Stegostoma tigrinum: one gene and its partners. The protein of the gene in region 3 purifies or fractionates together with the protein of the main gene of each other region. This does not show direct contact. Links are inferred from orthologs where the notes say so. Each region holds a gene or a part of one and is shown on either strand. Other genes may lie near its edges.

Region 1 (7,630 bases), on a different chromosome or scaffold from region 3:
AACATTCTCAAAGGGTTCGGCAGGGAAATGGTGGGAAGATTGGGAACAAACTGTATGCTCACAGAATAAATTGTTGACCATTTTGCAGTGACTGAAAAGGAATTTGCTCACTTGAAGGGATTTAAAAACTCTGGAATTTTTTTTTAAAATCAGAGACAGCTGTGAATCCTCAGTCGAGTACATTCAAGGTAGAGATTTATGGATGCTATGAGCATCCAGAAATATGAGGCTAGTGCAGGAAAGTGTCCTGAGGGAATAGATCAGCCACAACAAGTGAAGGGCAGAATAGGGCCCAGGGGCAGAATGGTCGAGTCTTGTTCCTTATTTTCCTATCACAAAAGGAACCTTTTTGAGTTAGATGAACAGTGGTAAGAGGCACAGAAATGGAAAGCACTTAAGAAATTCAGCAGGTCTGGCAGCTTCGGTGGAGAGAGAAACAAAGTTAACTTTTCCAGTTCTATACAGTCTTGTTCAGAACAGGAGTCTTAAAAAATGGCTCTGCACTTGGGAAACAACGCCCCACAAATCTGAGTTTTTGTGGATGTAACCAAAAGGATTCGTACACATTGGCTACATGGACGACAGTAAAGCCTTTGACAAGGTTCCACATGACAGATTAATAAGTAAAGCTAAATCACATGGAATTCAGGGAGAGTATGCCAACTGGAGACAAACTGGCTCGACAGAAGGAGACACAGGGTGGTGGTGGTGTTTTTCGGACTGGAGGCCGGTGACCAGCGGTGCTCCACAGGGACTGGAGCTGCTCCACTTTTGGTTGTCATTTATAGAAACAATTTGGACGAGAATTTTAGGAGGGATGGTTAGTAAGTAAGCAGATGACACCAAAATTGGTGATATAGTCAACACTGATGGTTATCTAAGAATACAAAGGAATCTTGATCAATTGCACCAACCGGCTGAGGTTTGGCAGATGGAGTTTAATTTGGATGAATACAAGGCAGTGCATTTTGTTGAAACAACCAAAGGCAGGACTTATACAGTTAACGGTAGGGCCCTGGGTACTGTTGTTGAACATAGAGACCCATGCATTCAGGTACACAGTTCTTTGCAAGTTGCAACACAAGTTGACAGGGTGGTTTAGCATTGTCTTAATCGCTTGTCTTCATCGCTTTGTCTAGGAGTATAGCAGCTAAGACATCATGTTGAGGTTGTACCGGATATTAATAAGGCCACTTCTGGAGTACTGCGTACAAGTCATTGAAAAACAGGAGAATGTGGGACTTGGCTAAAACGACTGGAGGGAAATGATGCATTATAAACATGCTGGAGAAAAGGAGGACATCATGTGGTGAAGAGGAATGGGCAGAGGTTAATACAGACACACATATTTCAGGCCAGTTTATCCAAATGACCTGATTCTGTCCTGAAAACTCTTAAATAATACCCTCTTACACAAAATAAAAAATACCAGAGAAACTCCACAGGTCTGAACAAAAAACTGAATCACTGAACTCGAAAGTCAACTCTCTTTCCTTCCATATGTGCTGTCAGATCTGCTGAGTCTCACCAGAAATTTCTGTTTTTGTTTCAGACTTCCAGCATCCACAATTGTGTGATTTATTCTATCGTCTAATTAAGGCAATACCCTCTGTAGCATCACAATTGTCACCAAGTTTCCCCAATATATATCTACATAATAATCAAAACAGACTATCATTGAGAGGCAAAACTTCCTCATCCATGGATTAATTTCGGATTTCAAAGAAGAATGTAATTCGGAAAAGAATACTTTTTTTTAAAAAATGAACACAATTTAAAATAACTTACTGGTTACACAACAAATACTAAAATTATAAAAGTTAAATTTCATGCTGCTATATTTGACTTTAGATTTGCCCAGAGGTTGTCACTTCTTCCTAGACAGCTCTGCCTTCCCGCCCTTTCTCAATCTTTGCGCCCATCTTCCCCCACCCTCCGACGCTCATCCGCCCGAAACCTTCCATCAGCAGCCGCCCACCGACCGCGCTCTCCTCGGCCGCGGCATCCAGGAAACACCGCTGCTTTGTCCGATAAGGTTGGCCGCCTACCGGATACCGTTCCTCCCGCCGCTCCCCAGGGGATCTGAACCGGTTTTTCGGAGTTTAACTGTTTTAACGGTTCGGGAGACGCCCGCAAACCCACGCTTTGTCAAACTGAAACTCTCACCATAAAGACACCAACTGGGGCCGCCATCCCTCGCCAAGTACCGCCATCTTGGCCAGACTGAAGCGGAGAGGCCACGAGCAGGCGGAAATAAACGAGCACAGAGCACATCGATCCATTCCCCCGCCGCGGGCTGAGTACTATTCACAGTACCCTCCAAGTCCTTGTCCAACTTTCTACAACTTAATCATTCTGGAAGCAATTTGGAAAAGCCACGAGACCGCATAAATCATACATTTTCTACAGAAGTTCTAGGTCCGCCTTTTCCAACAGTTTAGCTTCCCATCCTAATGTCACCACTTGCGGTCTCACTACTACCGCATTATCACGACACGAGTATGAAAAGAAAACTCAAGTAACGAATTGCTTTCGCCTTGGACTGTTCATCACGTAAACAACGCAAGTCACTGCCTTGTACTCGCTAGTCTTCTTCTAACATGGGTTGTAAAAATGGATACCGTCTGGACAAGACTCTAAGTTAAAGTGACATAGAGGATCCCAGGCTGTAGCTGGAAACTGAACAGTCCAGATGCTCATATTTCACTAATGACACGTTCTCAACTATTAGTTTGTTACCCTCAACAATGCAAATAAACATTTTTTTTTCCCCTGAAGAAGGGTCTGGGACCGAAACGTCAACCTTCCTGCTCCTCTGATGCTGCTTGGCCTGCTGTGTTCATCCAGCTCTACACCTTGTTATCTCAGATTCTCCGGCATCTGCAGTTCCTGCTATCTCTAATGCAAATGACATTTTGTTTTCACAAATATGCATAGTTCACCTTTGGGCGAGTAATTCCTCATCAGATAACACGTGATAAAATTAAAGAAATAATCAATGTTAATGTATGTGTATGTTTCTAACTCGAACAAAACGCCAACAATAACTGTAATTACATTATGTTTCCTACAGGAGGCAGAAGGATAAGGTAAAAGTTACACGGTTTCAACATAGGACACTGGAAAAAGATGCCTAACAATAAATCTGACAGTAATAATTGTAGAAAATAAATTCCAATAAAATCAGTAGAAAAATCATAAAATTTTCTATGAATGTAGTCGTAAAAGTGGATACATTTCATTAAACGTTTTAAATTCAAAAATGAAATGAGAAAAAGTTCCGAATTAATATCAACAAAAAGGTTTGAAAGTAAAATACGTACATCAAAATTCTGAAGAAACGTAGTCAGGAACAATTATTCAAAAGTTACTTTAGCGTAAGTAAAGTAAATTCAACCCACCCCAGATGGGACTCGAACCCACAATCCCTGGCTTAGGAGGCCAGTGCCTTATCCATTAGGCCACTGGGGCTACGTGTTTTAAATGGAAATTGAAGCATTTAAATACTTCGCTCGAGGTGGTGTTCTTTTTTTCATACTGTAATTGATTGGGTTTTTTCCCCTTCCATCTCATGCACATTTTAAATGCTAAATTGCTGGCTGCTTGATGAATTGATCTCGCCTCCGAGCAGACAGGAGAAAGATGTGGCTACTCGTTGCTATTTTGCGCAGCAGTGTGAAGGTATTTGCAGTAAGTGGGAGAATGAAAGTGGAGGTGAAAACCGAAGGAGCTGCAGATGCTGTAAATCAGAAGCAGAAAGAAAACATTGCTGCAACAGGTCAGCAGGTCTGGCAGCGCCTGGGAAGAGAAATTAAAGTTAATCTTTCTGCTCCAGTAATCATTTGTTTCTGAGTAAGTGGAGAATATTGCGCAAAACTGCAATGAGAACAAAGCAATTGAACCTTGGCGGGCATTCAGCCCATCGTGGCTGTGCTGTCTGTGTGAAAAACTCAGCCAATTTTCTGTATATCCCCAAACTCCTTCAATTGCGTTGTTCAAGATTTTATTGAACCATCCTTTGCTACGATCTCAGCGTAGGAACAGGGAGTTTGACAGAGTAGATGAGAAGTGAACGTCAGAAACATTCAAGATCCCTGCAGAGCAAGTAGGCTTTAAAAATTGGACACCCCAGATGGGACTCGAACCCACAATCCCTGGCTTAGGAGGCCAGTGCCTTATCCATTAGGCCACTGGGGCCCCTGCAGGTAATTGGGGTGTGGCTTATCTAAGGGCACGAACACCTTTTCTATTAGTTGTGTTGATATCAATTTTATGTTTGTACTCTGCCAATATTGCCAGCTGACCCACAATTCAAAATGACATTCAGAATAAAGTAAATAGAAATTAGTTAAAGGTTGGTCTTCCAAGATTGTAAATCTTGGAGCTGTGGTTATGCATAAGGAATGCCTGCCTTTATTATGGAATTCCTGAGGAACCTATCCGCCATAATTAAATGGCGGAGCAGACTTGGTGGGCCGAGTGGCCTAATTTCTGCTACTGTGTGATATGGTCTTATGATCTTTATTAGTAGAGGTAAAAACTGCTGATGCTGTAAATCAGAAATACAAACACAGGTCTGGCAGTATCTGTGGAGAGAAATCAGAGTTGGCATTTCGGCTCAAGTGACCCTTCTTCAGAACCCTTCCCGAAGTTCATAGGAAGGGTTAAAATTGTATCAGAGGTAATGGGAACTGCAGCTGCTGGACAATCTGAGAAAACAAAGTGTGGAGCTGGATGAACACAGCACGCCAAGCAGCATCTTAGGAGCACAAAAGCTAACGTTTCAGGCCTAGACCCTTCATCAGAAAAGGCGGATAGGGAGAGGGTTCTGAAATAAATAGGGAGATGTGGGAGGTGGATCCAAGATGGATAGAGGAGAAAGTGTGCCCCCACACCTCCTCCCTCACCCCCATCTCAGGCCCAAAGATGACTTTCCACATCAAGCAGATGTTCACCTGCACATCCACATGCTGCATCCACTGTACCCGGTGTGGCTACCTCTACATCGGGGGAACCAAGCGGAGGCTTGGGGACTGCTTTGCAGAACACCTCCGCTCGGTTCGCAATAAACAACTGCACCTCCCAGTTGCGAACCATTTCAACTCCCCCTCCCATTCCTTAGACGACATGTCTATCCTGGGCCTCCTGCAGTGCCACAACAATGCCACCTGAAGGTTGCAGGAACAGCAATTCATATTCCGCTTGGGAACCCTGCAGCCCAATGGTATCATGTGGATTTCACAAGCTTCAAAATCTCCCCTCCCTTCACTGCATCCCAAAACCAGCCTAGCTTGTCCCAGCCTGCCTAACCTGTTTTCCTCCCACCTATCCCCTCCTCCCACCTCAAGCCGCAGCTCCATTTCCTGCCTCCTAACCTCATCCCGCCCTCTTGATCTGTCCGTCCTCCCCGGACTGACCTATCCTCACCATACCTCCCCACCTACACTCACCTCTACTGGCTCCATCCCCGCCCCTTTAACTTGTCTGTCTCCTCTCCACCTATCTTCTCCTCTATCCATCTTCAATCCACCTCCCCCTCTCTCCCTATTTATTTCAGAACCCTCTCCCCCTCCCCCTTTTCTGATGAAGGGTTTAGGCCCAAAACGTCAGCTTTTGTGCTCCTAAGATGCTGCTTGGCCTGCTGTGTTCATCCAGCTCCACACTTTGTCATCTCATTTCCTAGGAAGGGTCACTGGATCTAAAATGTTAACTTTGATTTCTCTCCACAAACACAGCCAGACCTGCTGAGCTTTCCAGCAATATCTCTTTGTGTTTATTAGTCAAGGCATTGAATACAATTACTGGGAGGTTATGATGGAGCTGCATAAGATGTTAGTTGGGCCATAGCTGAATTACTTGGAGAACCCAGATTGCAAATGGGACAAAAATAGATGGGAGAGAAACTATGAACAATAACGCAAAAAGTTTACAGGGGAGATAGACAGGTTGAATGAATGGGCAAAAACTTGGCAGACTGAATATAATGTGGGAAAATGTGAGATTATGTAGTTTGGCAGGAAGAATAGAGCAGTTGGACATAATTTTAATGGAGAAAGTCTGAAGATAATTACAGCACAGAGGGATTTGCCGGTTTTTAAAAGACAGAAACAGAAATTGCTGGAGAAACTCAGCAGATCTGGCAACATCTTTGGGAAGAAAGAAAAGTTAATATTTTGAGTCTGGTGACTCTGGCAGCTAGGAAAACTGGCATTTATGCTGAAGCCAAACTGGGGACAAAGGGGTGATGAAAAGATAGGTGGAGACAGACCCCAGAGATAGAGATATGAAAGGGGCCGGTAAACAAGAAGATAATGGATATCAGGCCAAGACAGATAGCAAACTGAATAAGAGATAATAAGAGCTAAGAGTGAGAAAATGGGTTACTGAAAACAAAAAAAGCTGAAAATCACAGCAGGTCAGGCAGCATCCATGGAGACAGAGCAAGCTAATGTTTTTGAGTTCAGATGACTCTTCATCAGATTCTTCATTAGTGTCAAAAACAAAGTTGCTGGAAAAGCTCAGCAGGTCTGGCAGTACCTGTGAAGGAGAAAACAGAGGTAATATTTTGTGTTCAGTTTCAGGTAATGTTTCCCCGGACCCAAAATGTTAACTCTGTTTTCTCCTTCACAGATACTGCCAGACCTGCTGAGCTTTTCCAGCTAATTTGTATTTGTTCCTGATTTACAGCATCCGCAGATCTTTTGGTTTTTCTTCATTAGAGTCATCTAGACTTGAAATGCTAGCTTGCTTTCTCTCCACAGACGAATTTCGGCACGACAAGAAGCTGGACATTTTGGAGGCTCCCTTGTTGAAGTGGGCCTCATCTGAACATATCTGATGGAAACAGAGGAACTGAGAGAATGGGATAGAGTCATTATAGGAAGTGGGGTATGAGAGGGGCAGTGAAATTGAAGAAGAACAAACAACACTTCACCTGCACTTCCAAGAATCTAGTCTGCTGCATTCACTGATTACAATGTGGTCTCTACATTGGGGAAACGAAGCATAGACTTGGCAACCGCTTCACAGAATATCGATGTTGTGTTTGCAAAAGAGACCCTGAACTACCTGTTGCCTGCAACTTCAATGTAATGTATCACCCTGCTCCCTGACCAACATCTCTGGCTCTGGCTTGCTACAGTGCTCCAGTGAAGCCCAACACAAGCTGGAAGAACAATACCTCATTTTCCGCTTGGAGACCCTACAGTCCTCCGGACTCAATATTGAGTTCAATAATTTTAGGGCCTAAACTCTCCCATGTCCCAGCCACCCGCCCCCCACCCCACACATCAGGCCTTGTTACCACATAGCCTGCCATTACACACTCCCTGTTGTTAGTCAATAACAGCCCCCATTAACAACTACCCACCCTCCTTTGTCTATCCAACTGTTTTTCTCTCTCTTTGGGCCCTATCCTCTCGTTTACTCCCTTCCCCACCCACCTCCCTATTTTCTGCATATAAACTGACGTTTTCCCAGCCACCATCAGTTCTGAGGAAGGGTCACCAGACCCGAAACGTTAACTCTGTTTTCTCCTTCACAGATACTGCCAGACCTGCTGAGCTTTTCCAGCAACTTTGTTTTTGTTCTCTCCATAGATGCTGCCAGATGATTTCCAGCATGTTTTATT
Region 2 (7,733 bases), on a different chromosome or scaffold from region 3:
CTTCAGTTTATAAAGATTCAAATTTGCTAAGGATATATCTGTTCTTTAAACCACATTTTTCCAACAGACTAAGCTGCGATTTCAATGGGATGAGAATTATTGCAAACTCTCCAAGTACATGTTCTGATCCTACCTTAAAGCTGCCACCAAGAATTCAGGGAATATTTCTACAAGCAGCAACAATAACATATTCAAAAAAGGGTCACATTTATCTTTTTCAGTCTTTCAACTGCAGTACTTCAACTGCAATGAGTTTCACTACCAGACAAACTTGTAACATACCTCCATTTTCATGGCTTGTTTCAAATTAATGATTACAGTTTTACACAGCTAAAAAATTACTTTTGCAGCTACACCTCTGGTATATAGTTCATTATTTTCCCCATTCTTCCCTGAAGGTACTGAATCATATTGGTCGACAGCTCAAATGAATGCCACGCACCATCTGATGTTTGTCTAAATAGGCATTCGCACATGAGCGCTACACCAAAACCAGATCCTATTTTCATTACATATTCAAATACTATCATTAAAGTAGTGAAGCTCATTGTAACTCAAGTCAGGCACCTCAGCAGAGAACCAGGAATTGAAACCGCAGTAATGCATTTACTATTTCTGCCACCAGTGACAAGAGTTATTGAATCAAAAGTAACTATTTCACAAACAATGTACTTCATGCTAGGTATGAAGTCTCTAAATTGCACATCCAGTGACCAGCTGAATGCGAGTAGCTGGCAGGTTTAAAAAAAGATGCAGCCATCTGCTAAATGTACGAGAATTACATCACAATCAACATACACTGCAGGACTGTGTCATCCGATTTCACAATGGTATTACTCCAAAGCCAGAATAAAGGCCAGCCAGAAACAGCATTCAAATTACCTTGATAAATGCCACATGTGCTGTACAAATGCAAGTTATGATGAGTAGAAACGGCTTATGGAATAAGAGTTCCATGTGCAGTTGGTGCCACTCATTCAATGGGGTAAAGCACCAGTACCAGATTGTTTACGCATTGAGAAAAACTCCCACACCCCAAACCAAACAGATTTACCTGGTTATACAATTTGCTACTTTTAAGTAGCCACTGTAAACACAGTGAGAAATGAAATGAACGTCAACCTCAGATTATCTAAACTACACACTAACTACAACCAAAGTGTATGTATTCAACCAAAAAATTTCGCTACCAAGGACAGCAACATGATTGTAAAACAAACTGTGAAATCAAAATGAACACGCATAAAAGTAGCAATTTCACTAGGCCCACAAGCAAAACAATTTGAAAAGTGCGAGAATACAGTCTGTCACGGAGGTACCGATCGGCAGACTATTTACAGCAAGCACGGGAAATCAAACAAACCAGTGAATGGATTTCGGTGGGGGTGGGGGGGGAGGGGGGTTGGGGGGTGTGGCAGAAAGAGAAGGGCAGCGGGAGGTTAAAAGGTAAAATGGAACTGGTCACTCCATTTTAGGAGTGGGCGCTTCGTCCTACCAACATGTTAAATTTCTAGAATGTTCTCTTTCATATATCGCTAACAACGCAGCAAGGTATTTTAAATTGGAAATCTATTATGGAGGAAATAAACAACTTGTTGCATTTCAACGAAGGAAAAACCAAACTTATCCTTCAAAATAAACAGAGCATTCGTAGTCTAGTTGATGGTTGGTTGACACATTTAGAGACCCACAAAGATAGCAAGAGAGAATTTTGATCAGAGCTGCAGAACATGCCTCACACAAGATGCATATTCTACGTTTAAAACACATTGAACACCAACTCAAGTCAGGGACTTGGTTTCTCACTTGCAACTTCATACATACAAAAAAAGTCATCGTATTTGGATTTTAAACAAAAACTCCTCCCAGAATCACAGCAAACGTTTGTTGTGAATTAAGCCTTTCAACTCCCCTCCCTCCCGGAGAAACAACTTTAAACAATAGACTCGCCGAACAAAAACAACAACAATGGGGGGGAAAAAAAGGGGGGGGGAAGAGAAGAGAAGATATCGGACAGAGCAGGATGAATGATTGTGTTTGTTCAATTTTACTTGAAATCGAATGATTCTCTGAATTTCGTTTCCCAGTCGGGTTGCAGAACGTTAACGAACATGCTGTTTTCTTTGTAAGACCTATATGCCAGAAATCGAATTTAAGATCGTCTAAGCAAGTTTAATTTGTTACACTTGTGTTTTATCAACAGTGACGAAATAGACCGAAATACTCTGCGCCTTGCCGATGAATCGAGCAATTTGCGAAACGCCCCTACGCTGATATTGACTCCGTTTTGTTAAAATATACATTTTAAAAGTTATTGGGTATATATTGTTCGTCGGAGGCTTTTCTACTAAAAATTGTAGTTTAAAAGGGTAATCAGCTAACTTTGTTAGCAGCATGTGGCTCGTCTTTCTCCTAAACAATGCCATGGCTATGATGGATGTGTGGCAGAGCAGATCATGAAGAACGGCAGCACCTTATCGGAAGGCACGCTCCTTTACGAAAGGAACACACCATGTCCTCCCGTTTTCAAGCCCAAGAGATACCAACTTTATTAAACTTTTTAAAACTAAGACAAACGTTTTATACAACAAAAGGTAAACAACGATGATTAAAGTCCACATCAGTGTATCGGTGATTGCAATCGAGCCGTTTTAGAACCACAATAGAATTGAGCCAGCAGCTGGGAGGCGAGATTGACATCCTGTATCCATATGATTACTAACTTTGAATTCTTTGAAATGACAGGGGCTTCGAGAGGCAACTTAATCATTTACAGGAAAGAAAAAAGTCTCATAACTCATTGAAGGGAAAAACAGAATTACCTCAATTTCGAAGTCTGGGAGCCCAAATGCTGTCCTGAATAAAGAGCAAAAGTGTGCGATGGCGGGTACTTCCCACCAAGAACGAATTTCTTCTACCGAAACGGTCGAAGATGTACATTCCTCGGACATTTTAAATGGCATCAAATAAATCCCTGTCCTCACATGAGATAGTTTTCCTCGAACTTGGCTTCCTTGTGTAAATTTCCACCCCCACCCTCCCCTCCACCAGACCCCCTCTGTTTCCAGTCTCCTAGTGCCGGTTGGCGTAAGGAATGTGCTGGGTGTTAAGTGTGTGCGCTGCCTGCCATTGCCGGTCTATTCCTCTCCTCTTCTCTCTCTCTCTCTCTCCCCTTCCTTCCTTCCTTCCTTCCTTCCCCTCTCTCTCTCTCAGTGCAGGCGTGCGTGTGTAATCCTGGAACAATCTCGCAGCCCCATTCTCAGCGAGGAACAGATGGCCGGACAACAACAGGGGAGTGCTCCAATCCTTCAACACACCGGAGGGAGACCAGGACGCACTGAACTGCTCAACGCCCGGCGCATCCCTTCACCAAAACTGCCGACAGCCCTCCACCCCTGCTGTGCACAATGGCGAACGCCGGGCCGAGCCCGAGGCAACGGGGAGAATGGCGGCTTGTTGGGCAGTCGCTGCCACGTTCGGAACTCAGACACCCCCGCGAGAAAGTAGAAAGGCTCGTCGCCACCAACAGGAAGTGACGCAGAGGTCTCCTGGGTACCAGCCAATGGGCTGAGCCGCGCTGTCCTTTGGGATGGGGGAGGTGGGGCGAAGTGCCTGGATATATTGTGCGCACCCCGGGGGTTTTAACGTCGAGTTTGTTTAATAAGGCTGGTCTGTGGATTTTGGGAAGGAATGACTGGGGTGGGGAGAAAACTATCCATTGAATAATCGAGCTATTCTTTAGTTTCCTTCCTTGCTATATTAAGTTCCTGCACTTTAGAATTGGTGTCGAGAGCCTTATCGTTTGTTGTTTAGTTGGAGGTTGCAACTAGTGGTAGAGTGCGCGAGCGTTTCTGTTGGATCACCCAACGTTCCATTCCCAGAATCTCCGCGTTCTAAACGGTTGTTGTTGTTCTGGAGCCCGCGCTCGGGCTAAAACCTTCCTTACTCCCCTAAGACATCCCCATCCCCACCCCCACCCCCTTCCCTGGGGAAAGGGCGAGTGACACCGTGCACCGCCCATCCATTTCAATGCTGTCGCCTGCCAAAACACCCAGTCCCTTTACTTCGGTGTTTGATTGCGTTAAATGTATTCGACTTCTTATCCTTGCCCCCGAGTAATCAGCAGAGATGTGACTGCTTTTTTTTAAAAAAAGTCACCCTTCTGTCATGGGCATCAGGACACAAGTGACAATTTCTCTTTACGTGGGTGCACGCGTTTCCTATATCAAATAACAGTCCAGTTACTTCAGCTGTCCCCTTAAAGGGAAGTACAAGATCTTTGCAGAAGCGAAAGTTGAGTTTATAATTGATTGCACGTTTCGTGTTCTCGTCAGTTCTCGCTAACGTTTGAATATTATACAGAACCGTGTGGTCTTTTGAAAATGAAGGCACCAAATTTCAGAAAAGAGGCAGCTGTGTTTTCCTTTTTCTTTTGTTTGTTTGCGGTGTGTCAAACGTTTCCAACTCCGGCCGACCGAGCTAGTTTGATAAAACTGGAGCAGTTCCAATTTACAGGCGGTAATCTCCTCTCGACTGAAAAAGAACTGCAGGTTAATTGTATACTTAAGAGAATCAAAGCAAAGGAGATAATGGAAGGAATGAAAACTGGTAAATTTGCCCCAGCTATGCACTTTTTCAGAGCAAAAGAATTAATTGAACAAAGTCCAGTTTTTAAAATTATACAGATGATGCCCAAAGGTAAGCAATGATATGAGGTTTATTAATCGACTGCGTAATGGGTTGCGGATATTTTAGAAAACTGGCTTTTTTAAAAAACTTTCAAATGAAGATAAAATGACCACTTTATTCAACATACAGTGTAGACCTGGAGGAATCAAGCCGGTTCGGCAGTGAGGAACGTCGACGTTTCGGTTCGGGACCCTGCATCCAGGACTGGGAGGGGAGCTGTGTAATAAATAGAGAGCAGGGGTGGAGCTGGGAAAGGTAGGTGCGATGGTGATAGGTGAATGCAGGTAGGGACTGGTGAGAATTGGTCAGTTAGTTGGGTGGGGCTGATAGATGGGAGATAAGATGGACAGGTTGCCTCATGTCCAGGAGGCAGGGACGAGAGGGGAAGCGGGTTGGACTTGGAAATAGGCCCTGGGGTGGGGAGAGATGAAACTGGTGAATTCTGTGTTCAGGCCATTAGAGGCCGAGTATGTTGTTCCTCCAGTTTGTGTGTGGCACCATTGGGACACTGGAGGAGGCCCTGGATGAACATGTTAATGGGAAGTTAGGTTGGCAAACAGAACGGTGTTGCTGGTTATAGTGTACAGAGTGCAGACGCACCGTGAATCGGTCACCTAGTCTGTACTCAGTCTCACTAATGCAGAGGAGGCCACATTGGGAGCAACGGAATACAGTGTTGAAGGTTGGAGGATGCTACAGGTGAACCCCTGTCGGATATGGAAAGTTTGTTTTGGGCCTTGGACAGAGGTGAGAGAGGAGTTGTAGAGGCAGGTGTTGCACCTCCAGCACTTGCAGGGAAAGGTGCTGAGTGTGGAGTAGATGAGCAAGTCACGGAGTGAGCGGCCCATACAAAAGGCCGAAGCGGTGGAGATGGAAATATCTCTGGTGGGGTCAGATTGCAGGTGGCAGAGAATGACCTGCTGGATGCAGAGGTTGGTAGAATGGTATATGAGGACCAGGGGACTCTGTCTTTATTTTTGTTGAGGAGTGGGGATTTCAGAGCAGAAGTGCGGGAGATGCAGTTGAGGCAGTTTGGATCATCGGAGGGGGTAAGGTTTGACTAGGAGTAGAATGCTCCATCTTGGGAGCAGATGATGTGGAGGTGGAGGAATTGGGAGTGAGAGATTGCATTCTTGTAGGAGGGTGGGTAAGAGGAGGCGTAGGCAAGATGACTACGAGAGTCAGTGGCTTTGAAATAGATGTTGGTGCTGAGACAGATACTGGAGATGGAGAGGTCCAGGAAGTGGGGAGGAGTATCCAAGATAGTCTAGGTGAAGTTGAGGTTGGGGTGAAAGGTGTTGGTAAAGTTGATGAATTGGTGACCGATTTGCAGAGCATCTGTGCTCTGTCTGCTATAATCAGCAACAATTTCTGGTTGCCAACCATTTTAACTTTCCCTCTCACTCCCTGGGCCACATGTCCATCCTGGGCCGGCCTCCTCCAGTGCCACAATGACGCCACACGCAAATTGGAGGAACAACACCTCATACTTTGACTGGGGAGCTCGTGGCCTGACGGCCTGAACATAAAATTCATCAGTTTCAAAATCTCCCCCACCCCGGCTTCATCCCAAGTCTAACCCTCCCTCCCATCCCTTCCTCCTTAATCTGACACACTCTGTTCATCTTCTTTCCTACCTTCCACCCTACTCTTGCAACTGACCAATCTCTACAGCCCCCACCTGTGTTCACCTGTCACCAACCTTCCTTCCTTCTGACCCAACTCCCCGTTTATTTCTGAGCTCTGTTTTTTTGCCCCCCTCCCCAGCCCTGATGAAGGGTGTAAACCTGAAATGTCAACATTCCTGCACCTCTGACCTGCTGTGTTGCTCCAGCTTCGCACTGTATTGACTCTGACTCCAGCGTCTACAATTCTTGTTACCTCTGTGTTTGGTGAGTCGTTGGATAAAATGATGTGTGACTGTTGGGGATTTCACAAATCTGGAGGTGTACTGTATTGATCAAGGGTCTGGGGAGGAGGCACTTATCAAAGCACAAACTAAGAAAAACTATGAATGCAAGACAAACTGTTAACCGTTACTGAGGGAATGTAACAGCTTTTTATATATTATTGGTGAATCTCCCACGGTGTGAACTGAGAGGATGTTTCAAGTATTCTGTATAACATGAGATATTGGTGTATTTTCTTTTAAGAAATAAAAGATCAGAATAAAAGGTAATTTTTGACAGGGCAGTTCGGTGAGGGTTCAGAAGGTTGCAGATGACTCTGATTTTGTTCCTTTAAAGGTTTGTAGATATTATGAAATTGATGAAAATGAGTTGAAATGTTATTTCGTGCCTGTAGAGCCAAGAAGTGACCTTTTGAAATATAGGAACTTTGCACTTTGTATCAAACTTGGATCTGTTTACTTTTCTGTGGTGTAACCTGCATTCTAGAAATAAAAGCAAACTCGAGACCAGGGTTGAGAGGAATCAATTATGCAAAGAATAACCAAACAACATGTGCTCACATAAATTCATTTATGACTTGTTCCTGAATTCTTCTGTGTAAATAGTATGATAGTGCTTTGTGCAAAACCTTTAATCAACTTTTATTGCTTTCCAGTGACACTGCACGTGAAAATTCAAGATTTGTCTGGGTGCACTTAGCTATTTCTAAATCCAGCAGGTCTGTGAGATAAAACAAGAGTTAACCTTTCGAGTCCATGTGCAATCATTCTGTTTTCTCTCCACAGAAGCCTGACCTGCTGAGTTTCTCCTGCCATTTCAGTCTTTGTTTGTTTGTTTCAGATCCCCAGGTCTTTGTTTTATTTTTAAATCTGTTGGGGATTATTATGCTAATGTTTATCCAAACTTTAAGGATAGCTCCTTTTTAAGATTTCATAAAGTAATTTACTGAGTAGAATTAAATTGTGTCAGTTGTCTGGTGTTCCCACCAAATGAGATTTATTACTTCCGTTTCTAATTTGAGGGAGTCTTCCATGCATGTTTATTTGTACATGTTGCAGAAATACATATACATAGAACATTACAGCACAGTACAGGCCTTCGGCCCTCGATGTTGTGCCGACCTGTCAAACCGAT
Region 3 (7,013 bases):
TTAGGTGCCAAGCAGCTGTTGAGGCTGAAAGCAATTTTGATCAATGAGCCAGTGTTAACTGCTCCTAATTTTACAAAAACTTCAGAAAGCTTTATTCATATAACTGCTTTAGCACTCAATTCAAGGTTTTTTTTTCATTCTCTTCACTAAATTGCCTATGGTATTTTCTTTTCATCTATTAACTACCACCTTTATCACCCAATCCAAATGATTACATTTATGGAGATGGTATTGCTTCAACATATAGATATGACACAGCTGAACCAATGTACTTTACCAAACTTTTTGACTATACTATATGGACAGCTGAACCATTCTTTAAATAGAATCCCTGCAGTGTGGAAGCAGGCTATTCTGTCCATCGAGTCAACACTGACCCTCCGAAGAACATCCCACCCAATCCTGCTAATGCCATACTTTACATGACTGATCCACCTAACCTACACAACCCTGGACACTTTGAGCAATTTCGCATGACCAATCTGCCTAATGTGCACGACTTTGGATTGCAGGAGAAAAACCAGAGCACGCAAAGGAAACCGCAGACTGTCGCCCAAGGCTGGAATTGAACCCGGGAACTGTGAGCCACCATGCCATCCCAAATTATTCATCTTTTGAAGACAGAAATACGAGCATCACCTGGTTTTGCTCTTCAGGATTGGAGCCAGTTATTGCCCCATTTCATCATGGCTCGGGATGCTCTAAGATGTTAATGAGATAATTTTCAGGCTTCTTTGAGTTATTCCTGGATTGCATAAATACAGTGTAATATGGAGGATTCATCCCACTATTCTATTTCTTTATTTCTCTATTTCTGTAACAAAGATTTTATACCAAGGTAAATCTTACCTAAGATGGTGTCTTGCGTGGCAACATTGTGTGATTGTCACTGCGCTCTTGAATGCCGTACTTGAGTACGTGACAATAAAATCTAAATCTAAATTTAAATCCAATGTTGCAATTGATACCAGTGACTTAGGGTAGGTAAGGTCATATTACAAGATGAATTGGGTTTAGAGAAGTCAGTGGGATATGTTTCCAACAACTTAAATCCACATCAACAGAGACACTCTACAGTAGGGAAAAAAAAGGGATTACTACTCCCCTTTGAGCATTTTGAGGTAAAAGTCCATCATGGCTGCAGGGAAGTGGGAAAATTTTCAAGAAACAAAATGCCAGGCTATTTCTGTGGAGTTTGCTATTACAGGCATATCACTTAAGAGTCATTGACACTGCAGCAAGAAATAACGTCATTGCTGATGTTCTGTCAAGAATGTAACTTTATTCAAATTATCAAATAATTAAGTATCGAGATAACCGCACAAGATGCAGGGAAAAGTGACTGAGAATGCGTGTAAATTTGTCTTAAGTTTTTGTATATTTTATTCTTGTTTAGACTGTGTAATTTCAAATCACTTTTCAAGACAGGTGATGTTATGGATGCTTTAAATCTAATTATTTTTGAAGGCTTTATGAATACTTGGATTCTTAAAAGTGGTTAATGAAAGTTGTAACAAAAATAGAAATTGTAGGAAAAGCTCAGTATGTCTGGCAGCATCTGTGAGGAGAAATCCGAGTTAACATTTCGAGTCCAGTGACCCTTCCTCAGAACGGATGGTAGCCAGGAAAATGGATGTTTATATGCAGGAGAAAGGGTTGGGGGAGAAGGTTGGGAGTAAACAATAGGTGGGGATGAAGCACAAAGAGAGAGAACAGTTGGACAGAAAGTTGTATTTTTTTTCAATAAATGTCTCTTGAAAGCCACATCTTGTGAAAACTGAGATAACAAGGTGTAGAGTTGGATGAACACAGCAAGTCAGGCAGCATCAGAGGAGCAGGAAAGCTGACGTTTTGGGTCTGGACCCTTCTTCAAAAATGAGGGAGGGGAAGGGGACTGGAATAAATAGCGAGAAAGGCGAGGTGCTGATAGAAGGTGGATAAAGGAGCAGATAAGTGGAAAGAAGACAGACAGGTCAAGGAGGCAGGGATGAGGATAATAGGTAGGAGGTGGGGGCAGGGGTTGATCAGTGAGGTAGGAGGAGCGGATAGGTGGGAGGAAAGACGGATAGGTCAAGGAGGCGGGGACGAGCTAGACTGATTTTGTGATAAAGTCCAGTGTGGGGAGATTTTAAAGCTTGTGAAGTCTACATTGAGACCATTGGGCTGCAGGGTTCCCAAGTGAAATATGTGGTGCTTGTGAAAACTGCTTGTTTACTGCAAACGCTCTGCCTGTGTTTACAACTGTCGTATTGCAGAGTCTGCCTTGGAGATTATATAGAATTTTTTGTTGACGGCCAGCCTGGGGAAGGAAATGAACTTCCCAGACTATCTCTCCTGTTTCTGAAGTGACATTTTATTGTAGGTTCATTCTGGAATGTGGAGCCCCGATCCAGTCTTAACACTGATTGTGCACCTGACAGTGATTGGAAGAATCTTCAACAGTGTTTTTCTGAGCAAGCTACATTGGCAAAGAAACCAGATACAATCACTGGACTTTCTTGACTGTCCTCTGGATACCAGAATGTCAGTTCAACGTTCCACACCTTATCTTTTTTTGTAGCCATCAACAACTAAAACCTAATGCCCAAAGCACCTTTGTTTCCCCAAAATGCATCTCTACAGCGTGCAATGATTCTTTTTCCCTTACCCAGCATGTTTTTGCACTTTTCCTTCCATGTTTCATTATTTCAGAGGTGAATTTTTATATTTTCAATTGCAAACTAAGTCTGTTAACCAGTGTTGTAACAACCTGAATAAGTTTGTTTATAAAAATCAATAATTTTGTGTTGCTTGCTTGATTTTAAGTTTAATATAGAATAAGTGCATGACTCATCATTTAAGGAAGCAGGAAATAATTAAATTTATGTTTGATGCAGCAGGACTAGAACCACGTCCGAAATAACAGGATTAGTGGTGCTAGATAATGGACACTTCCAACAATACTTTCAGGAACTAACCAGGAAATATGCTATTTGAGACACTAATATATAAGGTAGGATTAATTAATAACTTCATTGTAAAAGATCACTTGGGCAAGAATAATCATATGATAGATCAAGAGTGATTAAACAATAGAGAAACTAAAATGACGAATGGTTGATAAGTCTCTAGGACCCATTGACCGGCATCTTAGCTTCTTAAAACATGTAACTACAGAGTAAGTGTTGGATTGGTTATAAACTTCCAAAATTCCACAGATTCTGGAACGGTCCCAGAGATCGGAAAACTGCAAACACAAGAACTCAATTTCAGAACAGAGGCTCAAAGAAACCAGAAAACTATGGACTTAGACTGTAGTTTTTCGTCATCTATTCCATTCTCCTTTTATTCCCTCCTACTACCTTCCAACCTGCCCCTTCACTATCCTACACCCTCCACACTGCCTGGCCACCTCTATCCCGTTCCCTGGACACTCTTCAATCCCTCCTACTTCACTCCTTTACACATTCCATGCTGCCTGGGCTACCTCCTCCCTGCCGCCTAAAGATGCCTCAAACTGTCCCAGCTCCCTGACCCTTCACTACCCTAGACCATCCACAATGCCCAGCCACCTGCACCCTCTTGCTTCTCACCGCCCTGCAACCTTCCACCCTACACTCTCCTGCCTCTCTGCAACCTTCCACCCTGCACTCTCTATTCCCGCCACCAGACTGTTACTTAGCAACAGTTCAAACCAAAAGTAACAATCCGGGTAGGTTCTCGCGAGATAATGGGAACTGCAGATGCTGGAGATTCCAAGATAATAAAATGTGAGGCTGGATGAACACAGCAGGCCAAGCAGCATCTCAGGAGCACAAAAGCTGACGTTTCGGGCCTAGACCCTTCATCAGAGTCTCTGATGAAGGGTCTAGGCCCGAAACGTCAGCTTTTGTGCTCCTGAGATGCTGCTTGGCCTGCTGTGTTCATCCAGCCTCACATTTTATTATCTAGGTTCTCGCGAGTGCGGTCCCTGGGGGAGAGGGGGCGGAGCTACGTCTGGCGGGATTTGGCGAGGACGTTATCGCGAGAGCCGGGCAGCGGCGGAGGTGGACGAGTAGGCGGTTGAGCGGAAGATCGGAGCCGGCTGAGGGGGTGGGGGAGCCGGAGGAGCCGACCCGGCGGCAGAGTGGTGTTGGAGGGAAACGGTGTGAGAGGTCGGCTCCGGTGAGGCATTTTCAATTCAACCGTGGGGAGGTGCGGGAAAGGAGAACGGAACATGTCGGAAGCCGAGGAGAGGCCGAGCGCCAACTTGAACCTGAACCCTAACCCGGCCGACGGGCAGGTGGAGGAGGCGAGCTCGAAGCTGGGGGCGATGGCGGCCGAACCCCAGATGCAGACTCCGGGCACGGACCAGGTGAGAGGGAGAGAGATCGGATCCGTCGACAACCCCGTCCTGCCCGCCGCGAGAGCGGCCGGTTACCCGCCTCGTGTTCATCTTTATCGGGTCCCCCGTCATGTAAACAACCCCGTTCCTTCCATCCCCGGTTTACCGCCCAGGTCCTGTCTGCCCTGATAACGGGTGGTGGGAGGGAGGATGGGGTCCGGTGAAGAATACGGTCGCCGGCACTCGGTGTGTGTGTTGGGGGAGGGGGAGAATAGACTTGGTTCGTCGCTGACGGCGCACGCGCAGTCCGCTTCCCCTTTCCCCCTTCTTTGTCTGATCCTCGCCCCCTATCCTCAGGAGGAATCCTCCACCCGGGATCCGCTACGCCAACCCGCGGAAGGTCCAGAGGAGCCCTGAGGGCCTCTGGAAGCCACCGCGAAGAAATAAACGGAGGGTGGGGAAGGAGGAAAGGATCAATGAATCTCCATGGCCCTGCTTCGTTCGCTCGCTTCACTTTTTCTCAAACACACACACTCCAATCACCTCTACCTCCCACTCCCCACAGCTTCTACCCTCCAAAACGCCCCCTCATGCCCTGTTTAACCCCTTTACACTCTCTCCCTCCCTAACACCCCCCTTCGTATACCTTGTTTAACCCACATTTTTCTCTCTGTCTCTTTCACACTCTCCCTTTGTCCCTGACACAGAATCCTTTCACGTTCCTCTGTCACCGTAATCCCTTATGTCCCTCGTTTGCCCTATCCAGCATTAGCCCATCCCCAAATCTCCACCTCTCTTTAAAGAGACGTCAATGTCTCGGCCAGTCACCTCCATCTGCTAACTTCAGAAAGTACTCATTAACGTTTTGGGGCCAACATATCTGATAGGGGCTAATTGCAGTTTTAATGCATTTTATTCTGGGTCTGATTGCTGGTCAGCAGTGAGTAGTTTTGTTGGTGCCCCGTTGTCATTCTTCTGTTATTGCTGCTCTTGGTTTTGTAGAACTGTCTGTTCATTCAATATTTCCTGATTCCAATTTGGAATATGACCCACTTATTCAGCAGGGCTGGTTTTGGTCTGAACCCCAAATGTCACTTTACTGTCGTTCCTCCGTGCTAGTTAGCTGTGTAAAAGGTAAATTGTTTAACAGTTTTGGGTGAACTACTGGCTAAGCTATTTGTAGCCAATCAATATATTTACTTTGATGGAAGAGAATCATCCTACAAGGTATTGTTTCCAAGGCAGAATGTTCATTATGCCAGTTTCCATCTCAAGATGGTGTGACAGTGGTTTGATGGAGATCAGGCAATTTGTTTTTTGTTTTAGTTAGAAATGGAGAGAATAATTTTGATCAAAAGACGTGACTCCTTTAATAAACTGGAAAATTAATTTATTGGTACATGAACCTCAAATACAAGGAGTTACACTTTGAAGGAAAATTTAAAAGTTTGCACGATGCTAGAAAAAAATTGCAACAAAGGGATCTCGAGTCCATCGTTGTAAATATAAATGCACATTAGGAAGACCATTTTAAAATTGTAACCTAAGCAGTTGGGTTAATTTCTTGGTGGCTTACCTGACATAGACTGGATGAGCACAGGTGGCTCATCATCTCAAGATTTGAAATACTGAAGGCAATTGTTTCTAGGCCCCACTGTGAATTCTGTTCCCTAGCCACCAGATGCTTCCCCCTCATGGTTGCTTTCTGAGAGTGAGCCAGGGAATTTAAAACTTTTTGACCTCTGACTGTGTATTCACACTGTTACTAAAATATTCCACTTCCACTTTAGTAGCTGAAACCTTTATTGACATCATAACTGTCCCATCTTTATGGCCACCCTCCCATTTTCCAAACTTCATAAACTTGAGCGTATTTAAAATTCGATCTGTATTGGCACTCAATATGTTTGCTGATTATGCTGTACCCTAATCATGCAATACCTTGATTTTTAATATCTTCATCTTTGTTTATGAATGCCCAGTACTTTTTCTGTAATTGCCTGCAATCCTACCAGGTCACTCTGCTGTTCCATTTCTGGCTTCTTGCACATCTCTCATTTTAATTATGTTTAGCTATCTAAACGTGAGCTTCTGAAATACTCTTTCTAAAATTTTCTGTCCTCTAAACTGACCTGTAGATTACATTGATCCTAATACTTCTATCTGTGGCTTATTCTCAGTATTATACGGCAATGTTCCTGTGAAGTGCTTTGTATGTTTTATGTTAACATAGTTTAATCACCAATTTTGTATTTATACTCTATCTCTCAACCTGTTGCACAATTCTGGTTTCTATTTTGTAAAGAACTATGTAGGCCCTGGAAATGATGTAAAAGAAAAACCCACAAAGATATACCTCAAGAAGCTACCCTCTGAGGAAATAGCTGGAGCTATTTAAGCTCGGAGAGGCTGGTGCATGGCCTAACAAGTATGTATGCATACATGCATGCATGAGCTAGTTGGACTACATTTACCTTTTGTGTGCTTCCATGTATGACTTACGTAACTTGTTTTGGACCTAACTAGCTACAGCAGTTAGTCTGAAAGATACTTTGACCCCTTATGAACTGTTATAACTTCCTACTTCTTGTGAGCCCTAACTCTGTAGTCTTTGGTTCTCAGTCAGAAAGTGATTCAATTAGCACATGAACGTGTTGAGAACTGAAATTGGGCCTAACTCTACATTGTCAAGTTTGTTACCTTTCAAGTG

The links. The genes of interacting proteins can lie anywhere in the genome.
Region 1: the proteins of SWI/SNF-related matrix-associated actin-dependent regulator of chromatin subfamily A member 5 (region 3) and hmgxb4a purify together in Homo sapiens (affinity purification with mass spectrometry; 3 studies listed by BioGRID and IntAct, with this or other methods). This does not show direct contact. The link is inferred for Stegostoma tigrinum from reciprocal best matches to the Homo sapiens genes SMARCA5 and HMGXB4.
Region 2: the proteins of SWI/SNF-related matrix-associated actin-dependent regulator of chromatin subfamily A member 5 (region 3) and chromatin remodeling regulator CECR2-like purify together in Homo sapiens (affinity purification with mass spectrometry; 3 studies listed by BioGRID and IntAct, with this or other methods). This does not show direct contact. The link is inferred for Stegostoma tigrinum from reciprocal best matches to the Homo sapiens genes SMARCA5 and CECR2.

What each region holds. Positions count from the first base shown.
Region 1 is NC_081391.1:4,172,920-4,180,549, reverse strand, and holds the start of hmgxb4a (HMG domain-containing protein 4a), read right to left. Parts: upstream 3,014-7,630; 5' UTR 2,943-3,013; intron 2,635-2,942; exon of another isoform or gene 2,167-2,634; intron 1-2,166. UniProt on the Homo sapiens protein: Negatively regulates Wnt/beta-catenin signaling during development.
Region 2 is NC_081371.1:27,548,611-27,556,343, reverse strand, and holds the start of chromatin remodeling regulator CECR2-like, read right to left. Parts: upstream 3,014-7,733; 5' UTR 2,964-3,013; coding exon 2,823-2,963; intron 1-2,822. Other genes in the region: adenosine deaminase 2-like, read left to right, coding at 4,383-4,698. UniProt on the Homo sapiens protein: Regulatory subunit of the ATP-dependent CERF-1 and CERF-5 ISWI chromatin remodeling complexes, which form ordered nucleosome arrays on chromatin and facilitate access to DNA during DNA-templated processes such as DNA replication, transcription, and repair.
Region 3 is NC_081354.1:14,750,930-14,757,942, forward strand, and holds the start of SWI/SNF-related matrix-associated actin-dependent regulator of chromatin subfamily A member 5, read left to right. Parts: upstream 1-4,001; 5' UTR 4,002-4,195; coding exon 4,196-4,333; intron 4,334-7,013. UniProt on the Homo sapiens protein: ATPase that possesses intrinsic ATP-dependent nucleosome-remodeling activity.